Oreochromis niloticus: one gene and its partners. The protein of the gene in region 1 interacts with the protein of each later gene in a pairwise test. Links are inferred from orthologs where the notes say so. Each region holds a gene or a part of one and is shown on either strand. Other genes may lie near its edges.

Region 1 (7,965 bases):
ACCCAATGTTTAGCAGACATTCTCAAAAACATACAAAAACACAAACACGTCAGTGTAAAACAGGCCGTCGTTTCGGCTCCAGAGGAGACAAAACATAGCAAAAAACCCCCAGCTTTGTTTCACAGACTGAAAACACAGTTGACTTTTATTACATTTCAACATCTGCAAAGCCAGTTTTCACAAACCCAATCCAGAGTACAGACAACGCTGTGTTTGCAACGTCAGTTATTAAAGGTCATGCAATAACTGAAGCACACACCTCAGGAAATTCCCTACCTGACACCCGTTCAGATGAATATAAATCAACACCGGTGCATGGCTGCATATGCGGAAGCTACAACAGAAACTGAGCTAACACTAACATATTCAGGATTAAACTGTTTTAGAGCCTACTTTGAGCTTAAAACTAATTGGATGAGGTTATTCATTCCCCATACTGCAGACATATGCTTTCAAATAATCCTAAATAATCCTTTGGATTAAAGAACTGTGCTCTTGCTCTCTCTCTCTCTCTCTCTGTCTGTCTCTCTCCAGTGGATGCACAGATACAGTCATCTCCACCCAGCTGTAAAACCCAAACTATGATGACCTACATTATTCTACAGTGGGCTCCAGAGACCCCGAGCAGGCATCTCTGCGGCCCCAGTCTGCGCCAGCTTCAAGGCACAGGTCTGAAAAAGGCAGACAAAAGAGTCCCAACCAAGATGCAAACAGAGGACGGCATGTTAAACACAGTGGCTGCAGATTAGCACTCTGTGTTCTTGGAGGGCCCTCCCTCTGTTGCCTCCCTTTGATATGTGGCACAACCTGCCACCTCCAGGGGCAAGGCAGACTCAAGGGGAATGTTAAACGGTCCTATCCTTTGAGATGAAACATTCGATATGAATCATTGATAAGCCCACTCAACACACGCCCCGTTTTTATGATACCTTCCAGCTAAGATAACCAGGCAGTGCAAACGTTATGCTCTCATTAAGAGCACCTCGGCTAATTAAAGGTTAATTCATTGCAAGTCAGTTTTGGTGACTACTGAGGTGCACAGCAACCCCCCTTTTTTCTTGCAGGAGAGTTTGCAGCTGTAACAAAAACCTGAAAAATGAATATGACAATGCATGCTTGTTTCAGATTCAGTGTGGGCATGCATTCAGCCAGGTGTGTGTTGTGCCAAAAAAAGGCCTCTGATAAGCTGAACCCTGTCCAGTTATGCCCAGAGGCCTAAACACATTAATTCAATAGTTTGCTCTTTGCTGACATGTGTCTGACCTCCTCCCTTCTGCAAGAATGAGGGCCTGCAATGCATCACGTGACAGCGGGACTGAAGCACTTTCGTGCATGAAGATTCAGATACAGGTGGATGGTGAAATGGCCTCTCTCTCCAACACCACACGCAGAATCCTGTTTCTTTTTATAACTAAGCTTTTACTTCCCCTTAGATAATAACCCCTGTGCTCCAATGACAGCTGCGCGTCTGCCTCTGCTCCTACAGTTGACAGGGCGGGTTTTTTATAGAGAGGCGTCGGGAGGTGTGATAGAGAAACCGCTGTTTGATTGGTCGAGTAAGTTTAACAGTCAACGAGATCAGCCAGTTAGAGCAAGTAAAGTAAAGCCGTTCATCTCGCTCGTTGCCTGTCGTGCGTCACGAGATCATCTTAAAAGGGACTTTTCTTTTTTTAATGATCAGCTACACATGTGGTTTCGATATTGAGCCCCGTTAAGCCAGATCAAAATGCACTTTTCAGCTCAATCAAACGTGTAGGCCTACACTGACCGAACTCACTCACTGAAATTCCTTTTAATCACAGTTAAAAGAGGACTTTTGCGAACCCTTGGCACACTGCTGCAAAGCGCTCAACTACACGGAATCAGACATACCCATCCCCCGTTATCTTGTATCCAGCTGTTAAGAGGTCCATTTAAATACTCCGTCATCCAGTCTGCGATGTTGTCCACCTGGGATGACATCCCCTCGTTGGAAGCGCACTCCACGCACACCGTGCCCCCAAACTCGAAGAAAGCAATAATCCGGCCCCAGTTCACTCCGTCCCGGAACAGTTCGTCTATCACCTCGGCGAACCTCCTCTGCGCCGTGGCGGAGGTGAGATGCAGCTGCCGCGACATCTCCGTGAAGTCCGGCTGGTACAGTCTTTCAAGTTCATCTCCAGCCTCGCGCAGGACTCTGTGGATGCCTGCGTGTGGGTCGGACTGTGGGAGCCGTCTGCAGAGGTGGGTGTTGCTCTCGCCGTCAGGCCCGGTGCTGGCTTCTCGGCACCGGTGGACCAAAGTCGGTGGAGGGTCAGTTATCGATCCGTTATTAGCAGCATCTTCTTCTTGGACAACGCGAAATCCCCACACGTATCCCCGCTTGGAGAGTTTATGGCAGATATACTTTTCCACAATATTGCGATTATACTCGTTCGCCATTCCGGCTCAAATTTGGCACTTTGTATATCCAGTGGTTATCCTAAATAAAATGCATTTTGACCAAATGTGTGCACCGTACAATGCTCTGCACAGGCTCGTCCAAAAAGCTGGGGCTGTATTCAAATAGATAATGCAGCGAATTATCCCACACAGAGAGGAGATACTTTACTCGTGAACTCGGGGAAAATCCCTTGAAGAAAACTGCACAGAAACACGCACTAGAAGTCAAAACAGGCTGGTTCCGTGTCAGCAGCAGTCTTCATTTCCCGAATCCTTGGAGGGACACTGGCGACCTTCTCTTTGCATAGAAATCCAATATGCGGAAGAGGTTGGGAGTAGTGTTGTTCTATTTCTGTGCACATCACCCAGACGTGGATGTGTTGCGATTAAAAAAAAAATATGAATGAAAGCCAAAGTTGTTCACGCCTGAAGGGGTTTTAAAGGCGGCCAACTGTTTTAGCAGCCTTACGCACGAACCAGACGCGGGACTGTGCGCCAGACAAGGTCGGACTGGAGTCCTCTTCCACGATTGCTCCACATATCCTCCGAAGCAGCTCCCTGTTCACCGCTAGTGGGCCGCACTGTTTAGTGAGGTATGCCTGACGTCAGCTGCGGAAAGTCTTTCCTTTGGCTGCTCCAAGTGCACACCAAGAACTGCGCTCAAACCATTTATAGGCCATATTATTATTACTGCATACTGCGTCCTCGTTTTAAGGCAGACCACGTTACCCAGAAAATTATATAAACAAGAATATTTTTAAGATTTAGATATTTTTTATGATAGAAGACAGAAATCTTAAAAGATCACAGGGTTAGGGGCAGAGGACCACCCCAGCGAGGGATTGCTTTGATGTAGTCCAGCCACCCCCTTGTGGACACAGACCTTACAAGTGCAAAACTGATGCACCACTCTACATTTTCCCTGTCTTCTTTAAACTTTTCTCATCTTTTTTAAAGCATCTCCCCTATTTGTCATCTACTTATTCTCCAACAGGTCTAACGAAGCATCTAAAGTCCTGCACTCTGCAAACCCGAGAGCTGCTGCTGCTTCGGGAAGTTCCCTTATGAAAAAATTAAATGTCATCCTCTATCAAACAGAATACTTAACGTCCTCAGTCCTCCACAAACCCTGCACTGTCAAAACTTATGAACCTCGATCATACTGAGATTAATTTAATTCCCCCCCCCTCTTAAGGCAAGTTCAGTCTAAGAGGTCTGGAGCAATTTAAGAAGAGACAAGGACACCCAGGAGTAAAAGGATTTAGGTTTTCTTCACAGGTATTTATTTAGTTTATCATGTAAGAAAATAAGACAAAGAAATGTTCCACTCCTCACATTTTCTTTCAATGGCACACAAGGTGAAGGTGTTAAGCTTTTTTGGCAGAAAGAGTATAAAGCAAAGAAAACAGAAAAAAAGCGTGAAACCAAAGAGTGCAGTATGACATGTTCAAGACTTTTAAATCCATTGAGCATCCGACAATGACACCATTAAACGAGGGAAACTAGCGTGACTCTTACAGAACTTAAATCTTTACTGTATGTTTAAACATATTGTTAGCAGAGGCTTGATTTGCATAGCTTAAAGTTGTGTTAGTGAAAACAAAACTGCTTTTACATGAGCTACATGTTCTATCCATCAATGTGTTGCTACCTCAAGGTAAAAAAAAAAAAAAAAAAGAAAAACCTTCTTAAAGCAATAAATGTACATTTATGGAAAGCTCTGAAGTGCGGGACAGTACGCCTTTAACCAATATCAAATGAGAACATCATCAAACATGAGTCATCCATTCTCACTTTCATGTCTTGGATTTCAGTAAGGCTTCTTTTGTCATAGAAACACTAGAAATTGACCAAACACACACAAACACACAAAACCCCCCAAACAGTTGGCATTTCACACCAAATAAGTCACAAAAAAAAAAAAAAAAAAAAAAAAAAAAATCACCCGGTAAACCAATCATCCACTAATGTATGAAGTCACATTGTTCTGCGGACGGGTCCACTCTCATAGCGTTCGCTTCATCAGTAGTCACGTCTTAAGGCTGTAGAATGGGCCACATGCTGCTATCCAGCTTTTATTAAGTAACACTAAGATCAAAAGAGCAGCGACATCAAAATAAACCACAAAGAAATGTGCTGCGATCTCAAGAAATTGTCTTAACACATTTTGGCATTCAAATATTGGTGTATTTAAAAAATAATGTTCCTACGTTCTGATTCGTATCGCTTTGCTATAAAGTACATTCTCTCCGACTGGACCAAAGGAAGACTTGCAAGAGTCAACATTGTATTTTCTTCTTCCTTTTGCATCCAAAACAATAAGAAAGTCAGATGGTAACTAAGAGTTGACACAAATCAGAAGGGAATCGATATTTTGTAATCTAGAGAGTTTTGAAGTCCCAGCAGTGCACGACAGCGTCAGTGCATGTAAAAAACAAAACAACACAACAACAAAAAAAGAGCATCGTAGAGATGAGGGATAACACTTCCACTCTTGTTCCTCCAAAAGTTTGGCCATTATATAAGATGACTCACCAGCGCCCTCACTAGACGTACAGAGACATGACTCGATCCAGCGAGTCGCGCCCATCTCTGAGTTACACCAACCTGACAGATTATGCATCTTCACTGGGGGTGGCTGAGAATGTGCACTGACACACAAAACTGCAAGTAAAAAATGATACGCTTCATGCTTCCTTTAGCAACTTATTAGTGTTTTTTGTTTGTTTTTTTTAAATTAAACTGACAAGTGCACGAGTGAAACTTAAAATTATGTGCTGGTTTATTTGTTTGTGTATCCCCTCCCACCCTAATCTTACGACTTCATGGCTTCAACCCATAGTACCTGCTTTACTTTCTTCATTTAGCTGGAATGACGAGGAAAACGTTTTTGCTGTCTTTATTCCCGAGACAAAAACTTTGAATGGCTTTACTCTTTCCGGAGGTGGTCGGCTCAGTCACAGCAAACACACTTTCACATCACACGGTTTTCAGCGACAACGCTGCATGTAAAGTTTTGGAATATTATCACTATTATTAATAATAATGATAATATGTGGAGATTATTTTATGCATTATAGATTTAAAAAAATTAAAGACAAACATAACAAGCTCTCTCCTGCCCTTTGATATCACTGAAGAGTACTGTCGTATAATGTATGACCTCAGTTCACGCACAAACACAAACAAAAATATCCTGCAGCATAAACAAAACACTGTGGGTCACGACCGCTTTTAAACACAGAGGTTATTCAGTCAAAGAAAAAAAAAAAAAAAAAAAAAAAGAGAGAGAGAAAAAAGGGAAGGATCTTTGCCTGCAAAGACCTGAAGTATGTAAAAGGTGGGAAAGAAAGGGCTTATATAGTGAAAACTGTAAAAACTCTCTAAAAGATGGAAATCTCTGATACATGCGGCACAATATGATGAAAAAGAGAGTAACAACTATTCTGTTTTCGCTATAGCCTCTGGTGGGGAAAAAAAAAAAAAAATTCAGGCCATATTTGGCACAACCGGTTAGACGGGCTGTTGCTTTTCTTCTCTGTGGGAACAAAAAAAAAAAAAAAAAAAAACCCAGGCTGTGGGATTTTTAGTCACCCCTCTTTCCTCTAAAGTAAGGCTGCTTCCACAAAAAGAAGCAGGTGGACACATTAAACTGAAGTCACCAGGGGAGAAAAAAATACATCTAAATGGCTATCAAGTCTGTGGAGTAGACACGTAAACATCTGCCACTTTCTTCCATTCCATCTGCTAAAGTTGACATCAGAAATGCTGACATGGCCTTTTATTTTTCAAACCCCACCCCCACCTATGGTTGTGCACTTGTACAGCTGGAGGAAGGGACTGGCTGGGAGGGCAGTGGGTAAAGGGTTGGGGGCATCGGGGTGTGGTGAAGGTAAGGCTGCAGTTACTCCCTCTTATTGGCCGCTTTTGACTGCTCCCTTTGAATCATACAGCGGCGCACGATGCTGTCAAAGCTCCCCAGGTAAAAAAGTGCGATGGTCCGAAACAATCCCATGGTGACAATCTGTGCGGGAATTTCAAAATAAAAAGGTTAGGCTTAAAATTGCAGATCTGCTGAGGAACGCTGCCTCCTGCAATTTCATATCATGTACAGGGCTGTACCTGCTGGAGACCCTCTGTGATGGAGGTGACGGGTGACATTCCACAGGTGAGCGCTGATAGCATGTAACCATCTGGACCGACAGAGCTGTTGAAGTTCCCCTGCTGTGAGATGAAAGAAAAACAAGCAGATACATTTGCCAAAGGAAAAAACAAACAAAATACAGAGCACACATCTTATTTTTAAACTGGGCACTGAATGTGATTCGAGCTTCTTACCACTGCATCCCTGACAATGATTTTGGCCACTTGGTCTGGTTGACAAACTCCAGAGGTTTCAGAGATTAATTTGGTCTCCAGAGGCTGGGAGAGGAAAGCGGATAAAGAGGGAGAGAGGGAGAGAGGGGTGGGGGTACGACCACAAGCATTTAAGCAGCAATAAAATTTACATAAAAAAAACAGGAAGTAAGAAAAGGACGTATTTCTCTGTACTGTTGCATACTTTTGTCTTGTTCTCTTCAGCCAGTCCTGGAGTGTCAGTGTCAGGGGGGTATGCCACAGTCACGTAGATATTGTAGGGTTTTATCTGCAGAAGGAAAACAAAGCAATAACTGCCTTAGCAATTCCACTACTGAGACCATGACAACTAACTACATACGTTAACATTTCAACAGCTCTTTGACAATAAAAGTTCGCCTGAATGCTACCTATACGTAGAAAAAGTATAATCATTACAGCACTGACGCTAGTGAAATGTCCTTTATCATCATCTTCACTCAAGCTGCAAACACACTGCAAGAGATATGCTTGTTGCATATGATGGCTGGGTGCTTGTGGACACTCCAGGCTCTGGCTGTTTAGGTGAACCTCTAATGCATTTATTCCCAGATCAAATGTCATTCTCCTTGGTAGTCGCTTCAGTTGAAGGAAATTGAGAAAAGTTTATCTTCAGTCCTGCCTACTTCTGGTCGTGGAATGTCGTTCGTATTCTATGCTAAGGAATGCTAAGAATTGCTTCAAGCATGTATGTAGGCCATTTTTGCAAAACACATACCTCCATCTGCAGTGACTCTGCAAGGCCTCGCAGGGCAAACTTAGATGGGGAGTAGGCAGTGTAACCAAACAGACCAATCTGGCCCGCCTGGGAGGAAACGAACATGATGCGGCCCATTCTTCGCTCCTTCATGGTGGTTATGACGGCTCGTGTTGGGTAAACGCTGCCCAGGTAGTTCACTTCCATCAATTTCTAGAAACGAAGGCTACATTAATACATACTATAACCAGAGTGTCCATGGTACATTACATTATTGTAGGCAGCTTCAGTCACTTTAAAACCTGAGCAGTTCACAGTGTCTTGATTCACAGCAGGCCATAAATTTAGCCACTTCTTCAAAAATTCTGACGATTTCTTACCAAGTCACAAATCAAACCTTTTCTAACAAGAACTTAATGTATGACGCTCATTTCAAAAGACCCCATTCCTGC
Region 2 (7,010 bases), on another chromosome or scaffold:
ACCATGTCACATGGCTACTACATTTCCCTTGATCATTAGAAGGTCCCGTTTTAAGGCATGCCAAGATGGTTGCATGACGTTGATGCGGTAGTGCCAAGCGTCACGATCCTATTTAGGATGTGTTAGGCGCCTTCCAATATATATCCTACCAGGAAAGAAGAAAACAGAGAAATTAAGATGCAGCTTTAAAACATAAACACAACTGACTATATGTATCTACTGAAATAGTTTTTTAACCGGGTAAAATGCAAACTCAATGACCACCAAATTAGGTACAACTTTTCAGCCAATGGCAGCAACTCAAAACATTAAGGCATGCAGACATGGCCCAGATGACCTGCTGAATTTCAAATCAAGCAACAGAATGGAGAAGGTGACTCAAGGGAATTTGAACGTGGCATGGCTACTGGTGCCAGATAGGCTGTTCTAAATGTTTCAGAATCTGCTGATCAAGTAGGATTTTCCAACACAGCCATCTCTAGGGTTTTCAGAAAACGGCCTGAAAAAGAGAAACTTGAACAGCAGTTCTCTGGTTGAATATGCCTTATTGATGCCAGAGGAGTATGGCCAAACTGCCTCAAGCTGATGGCGAGGCAACAGTAACTCAAATAACTCATTACAAGCAAGGTATGCAGAAGCGCTGCCTCTCCAGCTTAGAATGGGAAACTAAGGTTTTAATTTGCATTTGCTCATCAAAACTGGACATTAAAAAGAAATTGGAAAAACATTTGTTATAAAACAGAATTTGCTATAAACAACATGAAAGATCCATCCTGTAGTTTTCAGGATGGTGGTGGTGGCAGTGTAATGGCATGGGGGATATTTTCTTGGCACACTTTGGGCCCCTTCATACCAGCAGAGCATCACTGATATGGACCAAAATCTCTGAAGAACATTTCCACCAATTTGTTTAAGGTGTACCTAATCAGGTGGCCAGTGAGTTTATGTGGTAGTTTTTTAATGTAAAAGTCCAAAATAAGATGTGTTGAAATAATGCTCTATAGAATAATAACCACAGGCTCCTAAATAAAGACAATTATATTCTCTGTCATTTTGAAGGTGATATACTTCAGGGATTATCCTACCTAAACCTATAAAATGTCAGACACTGAACTGGACTGCTGTTTATCCAGTCAGGCACTGTTCTAAACATCATTATGTTTGTTTTATTTTTACATATATTTCAGTGTTTTGTTATGATGACACTGTCATTTTTCTATCCTGCAAATCCTGCAAATGTTAAGAGATTATTGATTGGTCATCAGTTAATATACAAATACCAATTTTAAGTGCATGTAAAATGATCCCAATATTTATGTGAAAATAGAATACATCAGGTCTAGTGGGTCAACAGTTCCTGCAGCAACTGAAGAGGCTCCCGTACAGTTGTTTTTAGTTTTCACATACTGCCTGAGTTAAAGATTAAATGATGCTGCTTACCCTAAGCCAACAGCGAGTATGTGGGAAATGATAAATGATGGAAGGAAAAGCTTCAGAAAGTCAGAAGAGAGAAAGCCTCCCTTCTTCATGACGCTGGTTTTCCTGATGCTGAGAGAGGTTGAGCGCTTAGGGTGCTTCAGCAGGAACTCCCTACAGAGCGACACATTAATTTTTCATTGTTCTGAATACATTAAAATCAAGTGAGTGCCAGTTTAATGTCACACCGGCACCTTTGCTCACACAGACATCATTTCAAATTCTATGAATCACAATTACAAATCATGGCATGTAATAATTATAGTTGGGGTAAAAGATTATCTCTAATTGTGATATGACTACTTACTTTGGTGGACTGTTCTCAGGTCGGCTAGACCAGTCCCAGATCCAGTCAGCATTTTTCTTCATCAGGTTCTCAACTTCCCGTATTCTCTCTTGGAAATCTTCATCTGACTAAAAGGAGAAAAATTAATTAAAAATAATAATAATAAAATCATGTCAAAATACATTCAGCTTTAACATAGTTATGAATAATGCATACAAATAAAACTACATATAAAGTAAACAGATTGTTTTCGACTTGTCAAAGCAGGAAAAGCCTGACTCAGCTGTTAAGTAAGGACCTCCTTTAAGTGGAACGCCATTATAATTAAGATTACTTTCCCTTGCCTGCTATAACATGTCCAAATTTCGGCTGTGAGAAAGGCTTAATGTACCTGTGAGCTGTTCCCCTCTGAGCCTTTCCACAGAAGAAGCGGGGTCTGTGCTCTGCGTGGGCTGTTGTGAAGAAGAAGAAGAAGAAGAAGAAGAAGAAGGAAACACATAAGGGAAACTCAGCTCACAACTTCTTCATATTACTCAACAAACAGAGGAAAAACATGAACTGCTCTTCCCCCTTCTGCCCACCCCCACCAACCTGTTGCACTGAGAGCTTCCTCTGGAGCTGCTCCTGCCTGATTCGTGCTGTGCTTCTAGCAACATATTCTCCATGTCGGCCGCCAGGCTGGATGAGGGAATTTGCTCCTGGCTTCCTTGTTGACTGGCACTTTGGGAGCCATTCCCACTGAAATGCAGCTCAACCCAGGAACCTTAAATCAAATGCAAAGTCTTTAAACATGAATCCCGGTTATCCAGTACTGCATCACAGGCCTATCTCGGCTAGGATGGGCATGCAGTCTCTGCGCAAAAAGGAACAATAAACAAATGAGGACTGTTCTTAGCTTGCAGGCATTCTCATCGTGTCAACTCTGCAGATTAGCCTTAATAACTAACTGGAACGATGGCCTACCCTGTATAGCTGTGTCTACACGTCTTATAAGTATATAAATCAATGTGGAGTTGAGATTCAATCTAGCTATTTAGCTAAACACCCCTATCGACTGGCTTTTCACGTGGTCAGGCTAGGTGACGTTATTTACTCGTGGTGTTTAACTATCGTCTACCGCTAACAACAACACTGGCAATGTATATTCGGCGTAAATACTTCACCTTGCAGACTCTCGTCAGAGGAAGTGTCCACCGGTAGTGACATTGCAGCGGTATAATGCAGTCTCCGCAGGTTTAAAGGCCTATATATCAGCGAAATGGTGGCGAAATGCCTGCAAGCAGCTGGAGCTCCAACTACCACAATAACAATGACGCAACATTGTGTTTATCTAAAATGTGATTGGCTCGGAAAGGAGAGCACGCGCGCCACGCTCTCCCTGCGTGTTGTTCATGCGCGTTCACGCCCGCGTACAAGGACACGATTTATGACCCACCTCGATAAACACGTATCCGAGTTATTTGTGAAAATGTTATGCAAGCAGCGCTACAGAGAAAATGTGCTTATGTCAGCTGACTGTGTCTCACATTTTTGGTTTAACCTTCACTGCAGCAGTTATACACATCTGTCTGCAGAGGGCAGTCATAACTAGGATGACCAGATCCCCCCCCTATCCCACAGCTTGAGACAATGCCCCACATTTTGACTGGGTCTGCAGGATATGCACTTTTCTAAAGTCTGGCTTTTACCCTTTGTATATGAAGTGAAGGCTTTTTTATTATAGTCAGAAGGTCATCCGGTCTAATGCCATACTCAAAAGGGAAAATTACAAGTCACCAAAAAGTCACAGGCTTTGCAGACGGTGTTTCTACACCAATCTGCATTTTATAATTAATCTATGGCTTTCTTCTATAGGGTGCCTTTTGTTTTGTCTCCCTTCCCTCACCCTCTACTGCTCGTGGCAGATGACTGCCCCTCCCTGAGCCTGTTCCTGCCAAATGGGAGTTTTTCCATCCCACTGTCGCCAACCCGCTCATAGGAGGTTGTCGGATTCTAACTTGAAAGTTACACAACTTCATAGTGTAAAACTCATAATCAATGATCTTTACTCTTGCATGTCTATGTGTCGGTTCCATAGTCTAGCCACCTAATTAAATTAATGCTTACTCGTTTGTATAGTTTTTCTTTCAACCAAGAATTGAATAACAACATGCTGTTTTTGAACAGCTAGACATATATTATACTGTATTTATTGTTCACAATTTCTTCAACAGGCTAGTCCAAATCTACAATCTCAAATTTGGGACTTGCAAATGCAATTATGTTTGTGGACATGGAAATTAGTTTGGCTCATTAGTCTTCCTAAATTGCATTACTGTGGGGGCTTATTATTATGGGTTGTGTACTGCTTCCTCGCAGGCAAAGGTTTACACAGTTTACCACATCATTTTAAAACACAGATAAAATACTTTGTTAAAAAATGTTACCAAATAGTTGATATCTTATGAGAAATAAAGTTTGCAAAAGCATGCAGTGAGTGGTGCTTCAGTTTGTGGTGCTAGTGATGTTCCACCTTATATGTTTTTAATGTTTAGCTCTACTAGATGTAGATGTCAGCTAAAAATACAGAAAAATATCTCAAACCTCAAACTCAGTTCAAACATATATCCAAATTAAAGTGCATAAATTGGATTTATCAGCTAATGTGTACAGACAGACATAAGGAATATTCACAAAAGAGCCAAGGAAGGAAGTCCCAATTTTGGGTATTCAATTAAACTAGAAATTTGTATCTGGAAACCTATCACTGATCTGTGTAGATAATCTGCCATTTGTATCAGACACACTGCCTTCCGGGTAGAAGAAAGCCAAATTCCTGTTTGCATTAACCAGACTGCAAACGTATTAATAAATTGTGGTATAAGAAAACCTATCATTAGTGTGTGAACAATAATACCTGGTGGCACAAAAACAGGGAACACACCGTTCCACTCAGGTTGCAAGCCAATAAACAGTCTCTACAATTTTGCTATCAGCCACATTTTAGGAAAAAACATCAAAAGAAGAGGCCAGTAATCAAAACATTTCACAAAGAAAAAGGAATACTATAAATCTGTACCACCTACCCAGGTTGTGGCTCTCATGCTTATCTTAATGCCACCTGTACTAGGCCTGGCAGTGTGTTTATTGTAGACATACCTGTGAGATCCACTGTTGCCATCAAGGAGAGCAGCTATCAACACTGCAGGCCACAGACACTGTATTAGACTCTAAGGCTGTACAAGCCAAAGCAACGTTTTCAGAGACTAAAGAGCCCTGAAAATATGAGACACTGTACTTCATATAAATAAATAAATGTGTGTTAATTTTTTTTTCTAATTTTGCCATGTTAACTATCCAAACAGTTTTCTGTAATCAATACTTTGCATTGCAAATATTTATAAACATTAACGAACTATTGTATCTAATATAGATAGCACATTATGTTGTCCTTTAATTAAAAAAAAAAAAAAAAAAACAGACAAGCTTTTTCACGGAGTTAGCCATGCATGCATTTTACAAACTGAAACTATAATTTTGTTTATCCATTTGTATCAGATTTGCACTTAAAAATATTCCATTATAAATCTTCGGCTGTAGCCAAAGAGCTACATTACGCACAGTATTTAGCTAGCTACTTAGTTAGCGAAAGAGTTCCAAGCTTCAGAAGTGAGAATGAAACTCATCTCGATATCCTCAGGAGGTACTCTGAGGACCAGTAGGCTAGCTCATTTGGTTCCACATCACATGGTATTAATAAATTACTGTAGTGGTAGTAACTTACTACAAATGTGTTGTTATGCAGCAATTATGCAATGATGTCCTTTTTAGACAGATTAAAGCAGCCCTTCATAACTGGAAGAGGCATGCAGGACCACTCCAACATCCAGCTGAAGAGATTCATTGTTTTTCATGTAAACTTTACATTTTGAAAAAAGCATCTGGAAAAACATTTAGGCTAATTGGAATTAAATTTTGCTTTATTCTTGCTTTATCTTTAAAATACTTTGAGTAAATTAAATTAATATTTAACTGGATTTAACTTGGACCTAATTTTCAAATATTAAGAGAGATCCTTGGCAATTATTTTTATTGTCTGATATTTCCTTCATTCTGTCTGCATGTTGTCATGTTTTTATTTCACAATTAGATACTGTAACTTACACTAAATTACTTACTTAGACTAAACAATTAGGCGCACCCGCTCAATGGCTCTTTACCTAGGCAGCCAATCAAGTAACTCCTAAACTTAAACCAAGCATCAGGATGGGGAAGAAGGGTGATTTAAGTGACTTTGAACAGAGAACGTTGCGAGACAGCTGAGCTGAGTGTTTCAGAAACAGGCTGATCTGCTGGGATTTTCCAACACAACCATCTCTAAGGATTACAGAGAATAGTCTGAAAGAGAAAATACCCAGTGAGCTTTAGTTTTCTGAGTGAAAATGCCTTGACACCAAAGAATATCTGTGTATTGTTTGTGACAATGTCCATCACTTTATGACCACAGTGTATTCATTTTCTAATGACTGCTTCCACCAGGATAATGCACCATGTCGCAATGCTCATATCATCTTAGACAGGTTTCCTGAACAAGACAATTTGTTTACACTGCTCAAATGGCCTCCACTGTCACCAGATCTCCAATAGAGTAGCTTTAGGATGTGGCGGAAATTATGTGGGAAATTTGTAGCATGGATGTCCAGTTAGCAAATTTCCAGCAACTGCCCAATGCTGTAATTTCAAAATTAACAAAAATATCCTGATGAATCTTTACAACACCTTGCTGAATCTGTGCCACAATGATTTAAGGCAAAGAGGGGGTCCAGTTAAGTACTGGTAAGGTGTAACTAATAAAGTGGCCAGTTAGTGTATATCAGCAGTAAATTTGCTTCTTAGAGCCTTTTAAAAAGACGTAAAGCAGAGACTGACACTTTGCTGGAGTTGTGAGCCTATAAAGCCACACATCTATCCACCTTGTTATGCCAGTGTGTTGGTGTGTGATAAGGGGAAGCATATTCAGAGATTAATTGTTGGGTGTCTGAGTGATGAGGACAGAAATTATTGCAAGCTTGATCGGGAGTTGATTGGTGACATCATCCGGTAGCATATGATGGTGCTGGTGGAAACAGTGTGCAAGGAGGGAGGTGGGAAGGCTAGACAAGGATTGAATACAATCGATACTACAGACAGGACAAGATGCATCAGGAAGAATTATGATGTCCGGAGTAGGAAATTTGCAAGAGCTTCACTCAGTATCAATGAAGGTTTG
Region 3 (7,652 bases), on another chromosome or scaffold:
ATCAGTGGGGGATGGTTCAACTATGGAAAACTTTAAAGATGGAATGCTAATTTGTTTAAATAAAGCTCAAGGCAAAATTAAATGTGTTACCAGTTAAATGAGAAGTCATTTTTTGTATTCATAACTTCAACATAAATGAAACAAATACAAGATTATTATAAGATTATCGTTGCATCTACATTCATTTTTGCTGCGTTTTTTTCCTGTTTTAGTTATGTGAAAGGTTTAAGTCTGTTACTATTCTTTATTAGCTTTATAGCTCCCTCCAATTAATATTCACAATACTTCCAATAAAATGGCTGATCAAGCGTTAAAAAATACAGCCCTGAGAGGTGTAGAGCAAAGTGCACTAATATCTATAAGTAGAGAAAACTATCAATTTCACATCTTAACCAGTTCAGAAGTTAGACAAACCTTTGTATATGAACAGTTTGGCTAAACTGAAACAGCTTTTTCTGAACTTAAGATCTCCAAAGTAATCTAATGGTCCTGAATTAGTTTCGGGATGGCTGGGTTCCAACAGTTTCTGGCAAGATGTTGAAAACAAATATTTTTAGAGCACAATACGAGTGCTACAAAGATGCAGATGAACTCTGAGGTTAAATGATGACATTTTTGGAAGTTGACTCCTGGACAAGCAATTTTCAAGATTACTGCAAAAAAATTGTACTTATAGGTGTGTGTTTTTAATTATTTTTTAAAAATAGTTTAGAAATGTTTTAGAGCTCGAGTATCCACACCATGTCAAGTTGCTTATTTTTTGCTGCACAAAAGACTTTACTGACAAATATCTAATAAGAGAAGTGGAATGAAGACGCAGGAGTGATTGGCTCCCAGTAAACAATATGTATTGACAAAAAATGGTTAAGGATAGGTTGCTTGTCAATTCTGAAATCCATACCTTTGACACATCCTCCTGAAGAGGACCAGTGTTGTGCTAAAAAGTGACTGCCAATTTCTCTGTGTTCTTTTTTATGCATCTAATATCTTTACTTAAGTTGATGAACAGGCTGTCATGAGCAGAATTTTAAAAAAGGGGGTTATATATAAAATAAAGTAATGACCTGGTTGTATGATTCTGCAATATTGTACCTACTCTGTGTTCTATATTATAACCAACCCAGCCAGTCAGCCAATTAAAAAAGCTTTAAAGAAATGTTACATTTGTTGCAATTCCCCCTTCCCTCTTGAAAATTGAATTTTTAATGTCAACGAGACTTTCTACCAGAATAAATAAAAGGATATATAAAAGTCACTCTGCCAAAAACTGATTTCAGCTTCTACTTTATGATACTTTTCTGACTGAAAATGGCTTGTTATCATTCATGAGAGACATGTATGAGATACATTTCACAGACTGTAGGCCATGATACAACGCTCTTTGGCCTATCCCAACTGACACAGGTCGTTACACTGCGCTATAACCAACACAAAGGCAGACACACAAACACAGTCACATGTACACCTACGTCCACTTTAGAACCACCGACATAAGTATCGTTTGACTCTGGGAGTGACTAAACCATATCTGTGCTAATGTTTTCATAGTTTGCTTCTATGTAAGGAAAACACAAAAATGTCCAAATACACACCTTCCAGTGGCTCCAGCTGGTGAGCGTGGCTGGGGAACGCTCACCGGGGTAGAGCTTTTTCCTCGTTGTTTCTGCACATTGTCTGGAGTCTTCCTTTCCTGTGGCGTACCGCTTGTTTTGGTTAGACTGTCTTGAAACTCCTCTTCGCCCTTTTCTGGAGCAGAAGCTGTGGTATTTTGCAATTCGTCTGTTTCCTCGTCATCGCCTTCTCCCGATACACCGGATGATGACGGGCTGGACGTCTGTCTGTTTCCCAAATCCTCAAGAGTCCCCCTGGGTGTGACAGTATCTGGGCTGCTATTGTTCAAATTCATATCACTTACACCCTTCAGCACCGCTTCACTCTCAATCACATCCGATGCCATAAGTTTCTCCGGTTGTCCCGGTGGTACAGCAGATCAGAGTTAAAGAGTCCGACCGTGAAATGCTTTAATCACCGTTCAGCTCCTTGACCAAATCAACCAGAAAGAAAAATCTGACTTACACAACTTCTTTGGAAGTTTGTGGCTAACAGGATAGCTCTCGTCTGCTGTACAGCTAGCCCAGAGACGTGGCGCTAGCAGCTAGCTATGCCAACTAACAGCATATCTCATTAACCAAACAGTGTCAAATATCACGCTAAGTCTACAGATAGTCACCTTTTCTAAATGCGTCACGGTGTTAACTCAAGAGTCCTATAGAGTTCTAGCTTTGCAGGAGCATAGGTGCGCAGTTATCCCACTTATCAGTTTCCTTCCTTCCTTCCTCCAAGTCCAGAGGGCTCTCCGGTGGACGTAACACATTCAGTCAGGCTAGCTTTGGAGCTAGCAAAGTTTAGCCACGACAAAACAAGCTTTGTATTCCAATTAACGCCGTCTATGAGCTAAAAAAGAAATATTTCGGCAGTTATCAACTACAGCTCAACGTAAGGACAGTCTTTTCTTGGACCCATGTTAAATACAAAGACTACTTCCTTTTAATTTGCCGACACACGAGCCTCGGCTACTAAACGGCAGAAGTTAACTGTTTGCTAACAACGCCTAGCTCTATCATAGTGTATATGCATACAGTTTATGGTCAGCGGAGTTGCCAGTTGTGTTTCCTGCAGGTTCTTCGGCATAAACGACCCAGTTCGTGGTTACGTGTAAAATTTATGAATTTATTTTTTGTATGCAAGCACACAAAAGCACGCTAAATTTAATTAAAATGTCATTTTGGTGCACTGTAAGCTTTTCTTTTAACTGGCCCGCTGCGACCACGAGTTACATAATGATATTATATTTTCAAAACTGAAACTTCTTTTTGGGTGTCCCACATAAAATAAAGTTAGTAAAATGTAGATAAAAAGTATGTAATAATAATGATAAAAAACAAAACAACGTAATATACCTAGAGTTATTGGCTCAGACTGCTCTGGTCCGTGGAAAACGAGCAAATCTGGCACCCCTAATAGCAATGGTCCTTCCATGAGCCGCAGAAGCGTCTCTACCCTAGCAAGCTTCACTGCCCTCTGCTGATACTGGAAACATAGAAATGACACGGTATAGACTACACAGTCTGGTTCACACACGTCTCTAATCCAGCTCTGTTGTCCAAACTGTATTTCTTGCTTTCATCTCGCTACCCATTAGTGATTTGTGCAGCAGTGGGTTAAAGGTTAAAAACCGCAACGTGTTGATTTCGTGTAATGATTTATACTAGGAATCGCACTGTTCTCTCTTACAGTGGGAAGTAACTGCTAGTTAGTCAGTCAAGCCAAAGTATTTTTATTTTTTACTTTTTATTTTTATTCAATTTATTTAATAAGCATTAATGAGACTGTGTCTGAAAAGGCAACACTGTAAAAAGAGTTTGTGTTATGATAGATTTCATTACATTAGGGCAGTAACATTTATACCTAATCTAGCTAATAATCTCTTAGCTAATAAGGTTACACAAATAAGTAACTCTGAGCGCAATTCATTTTTAAAAAGATATGTAATCGGATTATAGTCACTTCGTCAGTGATTACTTGATTATCCTTTCAGTAAATATTTAAAATATGACTTTTTTCATCATTACCAATGAAATAATGAAGCTGTTGAAGTGCATACTTGTGACTTGTCTTGTATAGTAGGCCTCTGTTTTTGCAAGGCTAATTTGGTTTGACTAACTGTAAATGCTGAATATGCAAAGTTCTTCTGTTTGCATAGAAAAGAAAAGCATTATTGTGTAAGTCAAATTTTTTGAAGCTCTATCCATCTCTTTCAAAGAAATTCAAAGTTCATGGATTTAGTTATTAACTACATGAAATAATGTCACTTGAGGTCAGTAGCTGACTATATTGCAAAGTAAACTGAACCAGTCCTGTGTATAATGCAATGGCATTGGTATTTTAGAAGCCCTCTCTGTTTTATCAGCTTTCTACCTTCTACATATTTAATGACTTTAAAAAACAAAAATTGGGTGCACAAGTTTGAATTTGAATTTATTTTACTCTTTCTTGGCAAAGAGTTCATTTAAATTGGTTGGTTTCCTGGCACTGACCCAGTTTTCAAACGTAGTCCACAAATTTTCAATAGAGTTTTGGTCAGAGCCTTGGAAAGGTCATACCACTTGCTTTATCCATTCCAAAACCAGCTTTGATGCATGCTTTGGATCATTGTCCTGTTAGAACACCCAACTGTGTCCACGTTTCAACAATCAACAGTTGTTGATTTGAGATGAAGCTGAAGAATTTTGAGGTAGTCCTCCTGCATTATTTCTTTCACTTTGTGCAATGTACCAGTGCTACTGATAGCAAAACAATCCTAGAACATGACGATATCACTACCAAGTTTGACAGCTGGTTCAGTGTTATTAGGTTTGAAAGTTTCACTTTTATTGTGAAACTCAAACATAGCTCTTTACTGTGATCACATAGATCAATCTTTTTGGTCAGATAGTGTTTCTCCAGACTTTTCTCCAGAAGGCATTTGGCTTGTCCATGTGGGCAGCTGTAAATTTCAGTCAAGCTGAAAGGTGTTGATTTTGGAGCAGAGGCTCCCTTCTTGGTCAGCACCGTCACAGGCTGGAGTTTTGTTTGTTCTTGGGTTGTTCTTGAACATCCTAACATATTTCCTCTTATCTGAGGGTGACAGTTTGGGCACTTCTTCTAGATTTTGGCAAAGTGGTGACACATCCAAAGAACCTGCACTGCACTTGTTTAAACTGATGATCTTGGAGTCTGCAGTTGCTTAGAAAGGTCCCCAAGACCTTTGCAGCTTATGTAAATCTACAACTTTCCTTCTTCACTGAGCTCCTTAGACATTCCCATTTTAAAAGTGTTGTTCGGTCCAATTAGTGCTCTCAAAGAAACCCTTTTTATGCTGGTGATGAGAAATTAGCAGTTGTAGTCAACTGTGATCACTAATGAGAACCTTCAGCACCATTTATTTAAAAAATAAATTAAAAATACAATTAAAAATGAAGTTTATGTATATGTTAAGAGTCTGTATGTATACTTTTGGCTGTGTGGATTAGAGAAAATCCAAACTATATTCAAACTTGTGCACCCAGTACTTGTTTGTTAAAGTCATTAAAGATGCATACTGTACAATCAGTTCACCTGGGAAAAAGATCAGTTCAAAGAAATAATTTAAAGATGTTATTGTATTAACATAATTAAAAAATCGAAAACTATTACAAATAAAAAAAAATACAATCTTTTAATTATTCATGACATATAATAGAAACAATATGTGGTTTCTACCAGCAGAATTCCAGTCTTTACAGTAGTCATTGAATATTTATTGGCAGCTCTAGCCTCAGTAACCAACATTTACCACTAGGTGGAGGCAAATGCTTACTTAAATGTTGTAGTTTAGGGGGACGCCTTTATTGATTAAAATCTGCCATGAACTGTGCAACATCCAAATTAGGCAAAGTCTGAGATTTATTCAGAAGTAACTGCCAGCTGCAGCCACAATTACAAGGCCCTTTCCATAATATTTTCCAAATTAAAAAACAAATTAGGAAAGACATACGAATTGAGGAATAATTACATTAGTGAACAGCATGTACATATTTTTGAAAATAGTTAATTTCAGTAGAATATAATTTCAGTCACACCTAGGGGTGGTTTTATTTATAGGCATTGCTGGTCAGTTGGCACTTTTGGAGCATATTAGCTACATCGGAAATAATATATATATATTTTTTTAGATATATTATTTTTACAAGAAAAGAAAAAACAACTCTGAGTATAATATAATGATGCAGCCCGATTAATACCTCCTCTGTGTGCAGCGGATCATTCACTGTAATTTCTAATTAACACTTTGCTATTTACTCTGCTGGATCATTAGGCCTCATCACAAAAGGATAATCCAGTCAAATTGAGAGTTTATGCTTCCCTTTCACCTTCCAACATGGCACTACATGCTAATAAGGCAAGTTGAAATTATCTAACAAATTAAGACAAATGTTGGCTGTTTAGCCAAGGAAAATATACTGAGCCAAGGAATACCAATTTATCTTAAATATTTATAAATGATGTGATGACTTTTTATTTTTTTTATAATTTTCTTCTGGAAATATTTTAGGAAATCCAAATGCTGTGGATTTGTGTTGCACTCTCTTTTTTTTGGTATATCTTTTTCTTCAATATACAGTTAAGTACCAGGAAGCAGGCATTCAGAGTACAGTAGGTCCACCGGAGCCCAGCATTGGGTTAAAACAGTAAAATCTAAAAGAGCATTGTCTGATGGATAATATGTCAGGATTAGTCCTCCTTTTAAAAGTAATACACAAACTTGGGATCTGCAGCCGACCCCGCCTTTCATCCTGAAAGGATGGGATGAATGTTAGGATCAGAAATGCAGGCTGTATCCTATTTGTGAAGCAGAATCATTAGGAAGGTTCTCCGACCAATTTCCATAAGTGGGGTAGCGGGAAGTATTTAGGCTACTCGAAGTATATCACTAATGAGAAAAGACAAAAAGGATTCATGTGCATGTTTTATGCAATCTCTTTTTGGGTGTAGATGAATAATTATTTATGATTGCAAAGCCTAAAAGGGAGGCAAGAAGATAGCAACTGCAAAGAGACTGGTAAAAAATTTAAAGAGGAAGTTAAATGAATATTTAAGGGAAGATGAAATATTTAATGGAAACAAATGAGCAAAACATTTAAAACAGCATGATAAATAGTAGAGACTGCTATTAAAATGGCCCCCATAATTTGTGCTATTTGCTACAGTAGCCGCAAGGTCTCAGTCGCACTTGTAATGGTGTGAACCGAGGACTCTGACAATTGTTTTCACCGTGCCAGTCAGTGTACGAGGACTCTGTGTCTGTAACCCTGAGATGACCTCCTGTCTGAGAAATATTAGCCTTTGATTCATCGTAGTTTGTATTGATGCCACAAGGAAGAAACATTTTATGTTTTATTGACTGTCTTCGCGTTGAGGTTATGGTTTAAAAAAACACAATTGTCTGAATTTGGTTCCAGATAATTTCTCAAGAGATATTTTCTGAAAAGAAGTTTTCAGTCATTCTTTTAGTCTGACACTCACCTGCATACATCAAAAGAAAAAAAAAGAGATCCAAAGTATGTACCAGCACGCATTCATTTGTTTTCCAAATGTGAAAATAATTAAATCAGCAAACAAATAATTATTCAAGTCAATGAGAACAATTATCTCAAAGACGCCTCTGAGACTTGGATGTGCATACTGAACTGATTAATTATCTTGCTGAAGCTAATTGAGTGGAGCTAGATCTTTGACTGCTTTCCCTCAATATGCCTCCCTTTTGATCACGTGAGGAATATCGTGTGCACCATGCAAAATGTGGTCGAGAAATGCCCCAGTAAATGCCAAGGTGTAATGGCATAGTAATGGCAGTTTAAGAACTATGTTTAGTATTTTGCAGATCTCCTGCTCTACAGCTGCATGACATTATTCCTCTATGGTTCATAAGGAAAAAAGCTAAAAATGTCCGTGAATAGAAAAAAAAAGCATGCACACCTCTTATGAATTTTAAGTTTCACCACATATTCAAATTTTTTATTAAACTGCCTCTTAAATTTATTATAATCGCAGCAAGCGTTCTCACCTGCGCT

The links.
Region 2: the proteins of apoptosis regulator Bcl-2 (region 1) and bnip4 interact in a two-hybrid assay, tested with the Homo sapiens proteins (2 studies listed by BioGRID and IntAct). The link is inferred for Oreochromis niloticus from reciprocal best matches to the Homo sapiens genes BCL2 and BNIP3.
Region 3: the proteins of apoptosis regulator Bcl-2 (region 1) and bnip2 interact in a two-hybrid assay, tested with the Homo sapiens proteins (3 studies listed by BioGRID and IntAct). The link is inferred for Oreochromis niloticus from reciprocal best matches to the Homo sapiens genes BCL2 and BNIP2.

Annotation. Positions count from the first base shown.
Region 1 is NC_031982.2:16,825,753-16,833,717, forward strand, and holds the start of apoptosis regulator Bcl-2, read right to left. Parts: upstream 3,050-7,965; 5' UTR 2,422-3,049; coding exon 1,873-2,421; intron 1-1,872. Other genes in the region: kdsr (3-dehydrosphinganine reductase), read right to left, coding at 6,326-6,445, 6,544-6,645, 6,760-6,843, 6,983-7,066, 7,535-7,726. UniProt on the Homo sapiens protein: Suppresses apoptosis in a variety of cell systems including factor-dependent lymphohematopoietic and neural cells. Regulates cell death by controlling the mitochondrial membrane permeability. Appears to function in a feedback loop system with caspases.
Region 2 is NC_031978.2:14,389,491-14,396,500, forward strand, and holds the start of bnip4 (BCL2/adenovirus E1B 19 kDa protein-interacting protein 3), read right to left. Parts: upstream 3,096-7,010; 5' UTR 2,969-3,095; coding exon 2,926-2,968; intron 2,526-2,925; coding exon 2,354-2,525; intron 2,215-2,353; coding exon 2,154-2,214; intron 1,891-2,153; coding exon 1,784-1,890; intron 1,591-1,783; coding exon 1,441-1,590; intron 146-1,440; coding exon 109-145; 3' UTR 1-108. UniProt on the Homo sapiens protein: Apoptosis-inducing protein that can overcome BCL2 suppression. May play a role in repartitioning calcium between the two major intracellular calcium stores in association with BCL2.
Region 3 is NC_031972.2:52,314,083-52,321,734, forward strand, and holds the start of bnip2 (BCL2/adenovirus E1B 19 kDa protein-interacting protein 2), read right to left. Parts: upstream 3,057-7,652; 5' UTR 2,961-3,056; intron 2,781-2,960; exon of another isoform or gene 2,040-2,780; 5' UTR 1,958-2,039; coding exon 1,593-1,957; intron 1-1,592.